2 linked regions of the Kluyveromyces lactis genome follow. Each later gene encodes a partner of the first gene's protein in a complex. Links are inferred from orthologs where the notes say so. Each region holds a gene or a part of one and is shown in the gene's direction. Other genes may lie near its edges. The genes, in order: MBP1 and SWI6.

Region 1 (4,316 bases):
GTGGATACGTCACTACATCAGGTAAACAAGTTAAACCTGGTATTATGTACCGTTGTGCAAACCCCAATGAGGCCACACCCGCCGCTTTGGATTACATGAAATCTCATCTTTTCATAAATAGAGTTTTTGATCTGAGAGCTGTTAATGAAGCTACTGAAGGTGGGATTATCCCGAATTTCGAAGTTGAAAATCTATCGTTCAACAATAACATGACATTGAGTCCAGAAGAAATGGCTAAACATTATCAAGGTATGTTTTTGTCTTCTTACAATTTCCCTCAGGCGTATGAGATTGTTTTAGAGAACAGTCTCCCAGTTATTCGTCGTTTTTTCGAATACATACTTGAGGGAAACGTCGATGAAAAACATGCGATTGTTTTTCATTGCAGTGCTGGAAAGGATAGGACCGGGATTTTGGGTATGTTGATATTAGGGTTGGCGGGTGTTGACGCTGACACCATTTCTCACGATTATGAATTAACTAAACTCGGATTGACTACCGAGAAAAGATTAATCCAAAGAATCACCGGACGTGGTGACAAATTCTACACAATTCTGGGCCCCCACGGTCATGAAATAGCTTCTGCTTGGGGTGTTTCTCCAAAGGAAATGGCAGCCAATGTGCTATCTTCAAAATATGAAGCAATGCGTCTATTCATTGACGCATTCTTGTTGAAATTCGGCTCTTTTGAACTGTTTTTCTTAGAGCAACTGAAGTTTACTGAGAAAGAAGTGGAAAAGATTAAAATCGAACTTACTATTTAAATAGAAAATATATTTAATTATGAGCTTAATGCGTTTGATATGAATGTTGACTATTTTCTGTCTCTCCCAACCAAGAGCCAGCCTTATACGCTCAAAGAGCATCCAGTTACCGTTTTAATTTGAATGTCCGGGTAACATTTTGAGTTGTTGTGTTGAAGTTGGTACGTTTTTTTTGGTTGATGAATTAAGAACCATCGAAAATAATGCAAGTTATTGTTTATATATTGCATATGATAAGTACCTAAAGGTACAAAACAGTCAAAATATAAACCAAGAGAAAGACGATCTTCACACCTTGAATATCCATACAAGGTTTGATTGGAAATTCATTGAGTTTTTTTCGAGTTTGCTGACATTTACTGGACATACCCGCCATTACCAGTCGCTATATTTCGGGGGTATAGTCAGTCGAAGACCAGCATACTGTCAAACTGAATTGGGGACTAAGATATATCATATCGATTTTTGGAACCAAATTTGATCTTACACATAGCACGGGTGCAAGATATTGCATCAATTTTTTTACAAGGATAAAGTTAATACCATGTCATCCAATCAAATATATTCTGCGAAGTACTCTGGCGTGGATGTCTATGAGTTTATACACCCGACTGGGTCAATAATGAAGAGAAAGGCAGATAATTGGGTGAATGCCACTCATATATTGAAGGCTGCAAAGTTTCCAAAGGCTAAAAGGACAAGGATATTGGAAAAAGAAGTCATAACAGATACCCACGAAAAGGTTCAAGGTGGTTTCGGTAAATACCAAGGTACGTGGATTCCCTTAGAGCTAGCCTCGAAGTTGGCTGAGAAGTTCGAAGTATTAGATGAGCTTAAACCTTTATTTGACTTTACACAACAAGAAGGCTCTGCTTCGCCGCCTCAGGCTCCTAAACATCACCATGCTTCCAGAAGTGACTCTACCAGAAAAAAGGCTACAAAAAGCGCATCTGTACCTTCTGGAAAGGTATCCGAAAAAGCGAGCTCCCAACAGCAGCAGCCTGTATCTCAACAGCAGCAGCAGCAACCTGGTTCTGCACCAAAAAGGCGGGGTCGTCCTCCTCGGAATAAAGCGACTGTAACATTACAAAGATCACAAAGTGAGATGGTTTTTCCAAAACCTTCAATTCCATCATCTTCTATCCAGAGCACAAAGTTACCTAGTCTACAGCCTCAGTTTGGCAGATCAGCGACTAGTTTGTCCCCGATTATGGATGTAAAATCTCCGCTGGATCAAGCTTCTCCCCAATTTAAGGAATTAGATATCGAAGACGGACTTTCCAGTGATGTAGAACCTAATTCTATTATGGGCACAAAACATGAGGATAACACACACTTAATGAACACAAAGGATGAGCCTGTATCTTCTTCTTCCTCTTTACCGTCTTCCCCAAGTGAATTCTCTCAAAGTGTTGCATTTGGCTCGAGATCTAACATGCAAACTCCCCTACAATTAAATGGTACGACTTCAATGAATATGATATTACCAAAATTTTCCTCATCTCAAAACGGACCATCTGATTCAAACCAAAGAGCAAACGAATACCTATCAAAATTGGTGAATTATTTCATATCTAATGATACCCAAAACGAATCGGAAATACCGATGGAGCTTTTGAATCCTCCTTTACATTGTTCGCCGTTTATTGATACGTGGATTGACCCCGAACATCATACAGCCTTTCATTGGGCATGTGCGATGGGTACGTTACCCATTGTAGAGGCACTACTAAAAGCAGGAAGTTCCATCAGATCGTTGAATAACGTAGGAGAAACGCCACTAATAAGATCTTCAATTTTTCACAATTGTTATACCAAACGGACGTATCCGCAGATCTTTGAGATTTTGAAGGATACTGTATTTGACCTGGATGCCAAATCAAGAAACGTCATTCACCGGATCGTTAGCAGAAAGAGTCATACCCCTTCTGCAGTCTATTATTTAGACGTTGTACTATCAAAAATTAAAGACTTTACGCCACAATATAGGATTGACGTATTAATAAATCAACAAGACAATGACGGAAATTCACCCTTACACTATGCTGCAACGAACAAGGATGATCAGTTTTATCAACTTCTTCTCCAAAATGGCGCACTTACCACCGTTCAAAATAATAGCGGAATGACACCTAATGGAATCATTAGTGGCCGTTATTCGATGGATGAAATAACAAAAGGGCAAAGGCTGGATGATCCGTATGAATTCAACAAAATGTATCCTTCTCAGGCTGCAACTAGAACAAATAGAATTATCCCAGAGGTAATAAATATGATGAAAGAAATGGCAAACTCTTATCAGAATGCATATCAGAAAAGACAAAACGAAGTTCTTCAGATGGAACGGACAGTAAAGAGCATGAAGAAAACCATAACATCTGTCGAAATGAAACTTTTAGAAGCTTTAAATTTGAAGGAAACTGACAATGTTGACATAGTACTCAATGATAGGAAGGAAAAAATTGATGAACTACAACGGAGAATTGCCACAGACAAGCGCGTGCTAATCAACAGGTTAGAAGAAGGACAAGTAAAACTGATACGAAAGTTTGTTGATGAAGAAACAAAAAATGTCGAAGGTAAGACTACTGACGGTGAGGAGTCTGAAGATATAGAAGCACTTTTGAAGGAATTAGTTCTTATTCAATTAAAACGAAAACGAAAACTTAATCAAATTATTGACGTGATAACAGACAACTCTAAAGTTTACAAATATAGGAAAATGATATCTCAAGGAACTGACATTGACGTTTCTGATGTTGACGAATGTTTAGATGTGATATATCAAACATTAAGCAAGGAAGGTTAGTTGTATAATTCGTATTCGATCGTCATGTACACAATGACTACTTTCTTCATGATGTAGCATTGTATTAATTAAACATAAGAGTACTCAACAAACCATGTTGAATCATCTCTACAACTCTTACCCGATTATATTCATTATAAATGGATTGTACATATCAGTTTGTTAACTTACATATGGGCTACCATAAATATAATAATATTAGAGTTTTAGTTATCTGAAAGTCTGTAAGGTGTAACGCTGAAGATATCATCCGTAGTTTTCTGAACACATTATCCAGTAATGTAAAAACAAAGAAAGAACGCGATCTTGCAATGTTGAAATAAATGTGACTTTTATTGTCTTTCTGTGGAACTTAATCTATTGACTAACTCATTGCAATTGTTTGGTGTTGTTGTTTTTTTATTTGTGATTCATGAGAGCGGAAGCTTTGATTTTATTATATATTATATCTTGGTTGGTGATGGAAGAAATGAGTCCAACTGAAATGAAGGCGGAGAAACACAAAATATAATGGTCCAATTCGCTTAAACTCAAATTATTAATGTTACGATGGGGATAGTCCGAACTAAGAAGACAAAACTGAAAGCAATTAAAACATAACAAACGGACATATAAACCAACTCAATAGATAATAGAAGGAAACGGGTGTGATACATGGGGGGAAAAGCAAGAAAAAGTCTGACAAAACAAAGTCAAATCACATAATAATAGCTTCCTTTGGAACATTAACGGAGATGGACTTG
Region 2 (4,290 bases), on another chromosome or scaffold:
TGTGCATCAGTTCCAGCCGTCATCCGCACACTTCTCTTCTAACTGTTCTATCTTTCTAATTTACAAGTATTAGAGACATGTGGATCTAACTTTAAAGAGAATTCTACATTTACATGTATAATGGCGTATATATAGACCAATTGATACAAAACAGTGAAAGGAAACTGATCGAAACATTAAAATTGAGGGCTGCTAATTGAGTTAATAATGATATAGATGCAAATACGATAATTATAGAATCTCTGACATTGTTCATAACTGAGGCAAAAATGCAGAAATGATCAGACGCATTGGAATATTATTCAGGCGTCAAGTCTTCAAGCAACTTAAAAGCTTGCAGTAACTCGGCTTTTGCAGTTACTATGTCGTCATAGTTTAGAGCGCTTATTGCATACTTAGCACTTCGTTGTGCTTTTTGAATCCTGTGCTCCCTTGACATTATTTCTTTCAAAGTAGCAACATCATGTCTCACTGCCGGTTTAGGTGATTCTAATTTGATCGGTTCTGGCGTTAGCAACTTTATTGGAACTTCTGGCGACTCAAGCTGCTTTAACTTCTCAACGGATTCATCTACCTTCAAAGAGGGAGACGGACCATGCTGCTGTGCTATTTCCGAATCTTTTGGCTCTTCGAATAGCGGCTGATCCTCTAGATCCTCGACAAAATTTGGGATTTCATCTTCCACTTCGCTTAGTGGGTTACTATTTGTAGGTTCTGATGTGGTTTCTTGGGGCTTCTTGTCGCTTTGTAATTGTCCCCTTTTCAATTTCATAAGATAGTATTTGGAATGTTTGATCCTTTTATCGCATTGCTCTTTTACAATGGCATCCATACTATCCGCCCATATATGTTTACAGCATTGAAACAAATCTATACAGCACCATAGCCCCTTTCCTATATCGTCATTAATCCTATCATCTTGTATTTGTACTAAGATTCCGTTATAGATTGACATCGCAAGATTTAACACAAAAGCCAATGCTTTGTCTTTTTCATTCAACAGGATCTTAGTACCTTCATCATTCACCTCATTTTTAAAGCTCTCTACATCGTCTAATAATGACATGACCAACTCTGTCGCTTCCCCGTCTCGCTCCTTCTCATTCAATATTAGCTCTGCCGCATATAGTTTTAAGTAGTAAGATATAACAGGAAGAGTTGACAATTCTTTAGAGAGTTTAATGACTCTCTTGTACTGCGCTACATTGCTCATAATGTATCAAGTATAGTGAACGAAAGTCTTTTGGGCTGTATGAGCACGTCTCAGTCCCCTGGATACCTCATTCATTCCCTATCCCAATATGTCGATATTATGATAATATAATATACAAACGCCAAATGGAGAAAATTTATTGATTTTTGAATGTTAACCAAATTATGAACATCGTACTAATTTCACAATTGAGAACTCTAAACAACGAACAACGTTGACTGTACTAGTAATTGTTCTGGGATCCTTCACAATTTAACGGTATAAAGTGGACGATGAGCAGGCCTATTTTTAAGGTGCATAAGGGAGACCGTATTACTTTCCAGCAGCGACTTCAAGACGGATATGTCTGTCTGGACCAATTTATCCCTTTGTTGACCAACTTATCAAGTTTCAATTTCCATCGCGATGACCCATTGGTTGAGAATCTCGATGATATGGTCACTTCTCAATTCAATATACTTATAGACACTGATAGGTCTGGCACCCGATGGATCACTTTACAAAAAGCACATGAGTTATGGGATTTGCTGCAAATTAAAGATGATTCTGGTTCGGAAAATTTGACGGACCATGACGATGATAATGAAGCTAATCACAATGGCGTTGAAGACGATGGTCAGAAGACTCCTGAGAATAATGGTAGAAAGACGGACAACCACACAATGGAGAATGGTGGTACTGAAAATACAAATAACGGAAACAACAGCTCGAATAAAAATGATGGGAATGTTACTGCCGAAGGAAGTAATTTCAGGCCTGCAACAATTACAAATGGAACCACTTCTAGAATCAGTGGTGGTGAGCCAGACACTGTTAAACATGAGCTTCTAGATCTTCCCGATTCTCCTACGAAGAGGCATCAAACCAAATCTGTTTCAAAGATCCCGGTTTTCCAACATGATTTACCTACGGTCTCTACGTTACAGAAAACTCTGCCTCCAGTTAGTAATTACTCAAATGATGAACGTGCGAAGTTAGAGACCTTACTTCAGCGTATTCTTTTCCCCGAAACTACGAATTTGAACGTTGCAGAAGGTTACCCATCGGTCAGCTTAACCCAGCAGGTACAAGAACTGGACACACAATTCCCAAACGTTCCACTAAATTTTAACATCCCAATTGATGAACATGGAAACACTTCCTTGCATTGGCTGTGTTCCATAGCCAATCTAGACCTTCTCAAACAGCTCATTGTCTTTGGCAGTGATAGAAGAATCGGCGATAAGTCCGGTGAATCAGTGCTTGTAAAATCTGTGAAGTCGGTAAACAATTACGATTCTGGTACATTCGAGATACTGTTGGACTACTTGTACCCTTGTATCGTAATGGTTGATGACATGGATAGAACCGTTCTTCATCATATTGTGATTACTTCTGGTATGCCTGGTTGTAATGCAGCGGCTAAGTATTACCTCGATATTTTGATGGGTTGGATAGTTAAAAAGCAAAGCAGAACTAAAGAATCGCATTGCGTGCTACTAGAAGATATCGATCTTCAATGGGTTATCACTCATTTACTCAATGCTAGAGATTCTAATGGTGATACCTGTTTAAATATTGCCGCCAGGCTTGGAAACGTTGCCATTGTCGAAGCATTGTTGGATTATGGTGCTGATCCTAATATTGCAAACAATTCCGGATTGTGCCCTGTGGATTTTGGTGCAGGTACTCAACCCCGTTTTCAATCGAATACAAAAAATCTTATGGCCACACCTACCAAAACTCATGAAACTTCGTTGGATCCGATGGCTGAGTCTACATCGTTAATCACAAATATAAAATCACTCCTCTCAAAAATATCGAATGATTATGGTGATGAAATTAAACAACATAATGGGAAGATGAAGGAGCTCCTCGATACACTCAACATAAAGAGAGAAGCGTTGGCTAATGCACGGGATAGATTGGCTAAGGCAAAGCAAATCCAAGATGAATATAATCTGTTGTCCGACAGACTGAACAATGTGGAAAACACTATCGCTGAAGAAGATCAAAATTTCCAACTTGCTTCTAGAGAATTAGGACTATCACTGGATGATGTCCAAGAAGAAGGTCTGAACTCAGCCGATATTGCATTCGATGCTGATGAGCCTTTCAGAATCTCTTACGTTTACACAAAGTTTGAGGAAAAGATCAAAGACGAATATAACAATGATTTTGAACTATTCCTCAAACATTGCAATTTATCACAACTTGTTCATGAAATATACGATAACTTCCCTTCCAGAGCAGAAATCCCACATCCCAAAATTCTTAAAGCAAGAATCAAAGCGTACAATAGAAACGAATTGCATTTAGACTCAACTTTACAGACTATCAAAGACAAGCAGAAGAATTTAGAATCTAAATTCAGAAAAGTCTTGTCTCTCTGCTTGAAGATAGATGAAGAGAAGGTTGACTCAATGCTTGACGGTCTTTTGCAAGCTATATCTAATGAAGATCCTGAAGATATAGATACAGACGAGGTGAACAACTTTTTAGAGAGTGCCGCCGAATAAATACCAATTGATGGTAACCTATTTGGAAATAACTCTTGTTGTACTTTTATTTCTAACTAAACAGTTTACGCAAGCTGTTGTAATTTTAGTGGACTTTTACCTATAAAATACGATGAACCTTTTTTTTCTATTACATTTATTGCCTATGTATATATTTGTTTCTTCGACGCCTTGTGTTAAAAAGCAAGTCGAGCAGAATTTTTAGATTATTTAGTTGGTTTCTTCCAGAAATACTGTTTATGCACTCTCCTGCATGATCTTAAACCAGATCTGCCACCCTTGAGTGATGCTACCAGCTGTCTTCTGTCATCGTCAGGATCATTTTCTGCATCATAGTAGTATTCTTCATCCAGTGGCTTTCCTGCGGCATCTTTTCCTGTACGGTAAATTACTCCGATACATTGTTCGTCATTCAAAATAGCGCGCAGTTCTGTGCGGCTTAACTTCGAGACAACAGAGTTAACATCCTGCAATTGAAAGAGTGGCACTTGTTGAATGTTAGAGAATGCTAAGTGATTGGACAATACATGCTGTAATTCTTTGTAATCTACCCCCCTTGTAGTCAAAGAGGAAAGAGTT

The links.
Region 2: MBP1 (region 1) and SWI6 share a complex: the UniProt entries of both Saccharomyces cerevisiae proteins name them as parts of the transcription complex. The link is inferred for Kluyveromyces lactis from reciprocal best matches to the Saccharomyces cerevisiae genes MBP1 and SWI6.

The regions. Positions count from the first base shown.
Region 1 is NC_006041.1:484,611-488,926, forward strand, and holds MBP1 (transcription factor MBP1), read left to right. Parts: upstream 1-1,308; coding exon 1,309-3,573; downstream 3,574-4,316. Other genes in the region: KLLA0_E05391g (uncharacterized protein), read left to right, coding at 1-764; PSA1 (mannose-1-phosphate guanylyltransferase), read right to left, coding at 4,271-4,316. UniProt on the Saccharomyces cerevisiae protein: Binds to MCB elements (Mlu I cell cycle box) found in the promoter of most DNA synthesis genes. Transcriptional activation by MBF has an important role in the transition from G1 to S phase.
Region 2 is NC_006039.1:142,822-147,111, forward strand, and holds SWI6 (transcriptional regulator SWI6), read left to right. Parts: upstream 1-1,485; coding exon 1,486-3,711; downstream 3,712-4,290. Other genes in the region: VTA1 (Vta1p), read right to left, coding at 299-1,213; TOS4 (Tos4p), read right to left, coding at 3,918-4,290. UniProt on the Saccharomyces cerevisiae protein: Part of a complex involved in cell-cycle-dependent transcription. SWI4 and SWI6 are required for formation of the cell-cycle box factor-DNA complex. The repeated element in the upstream region of HO (5'-CACGAAAA-3') is called the cell cycle box (CCB).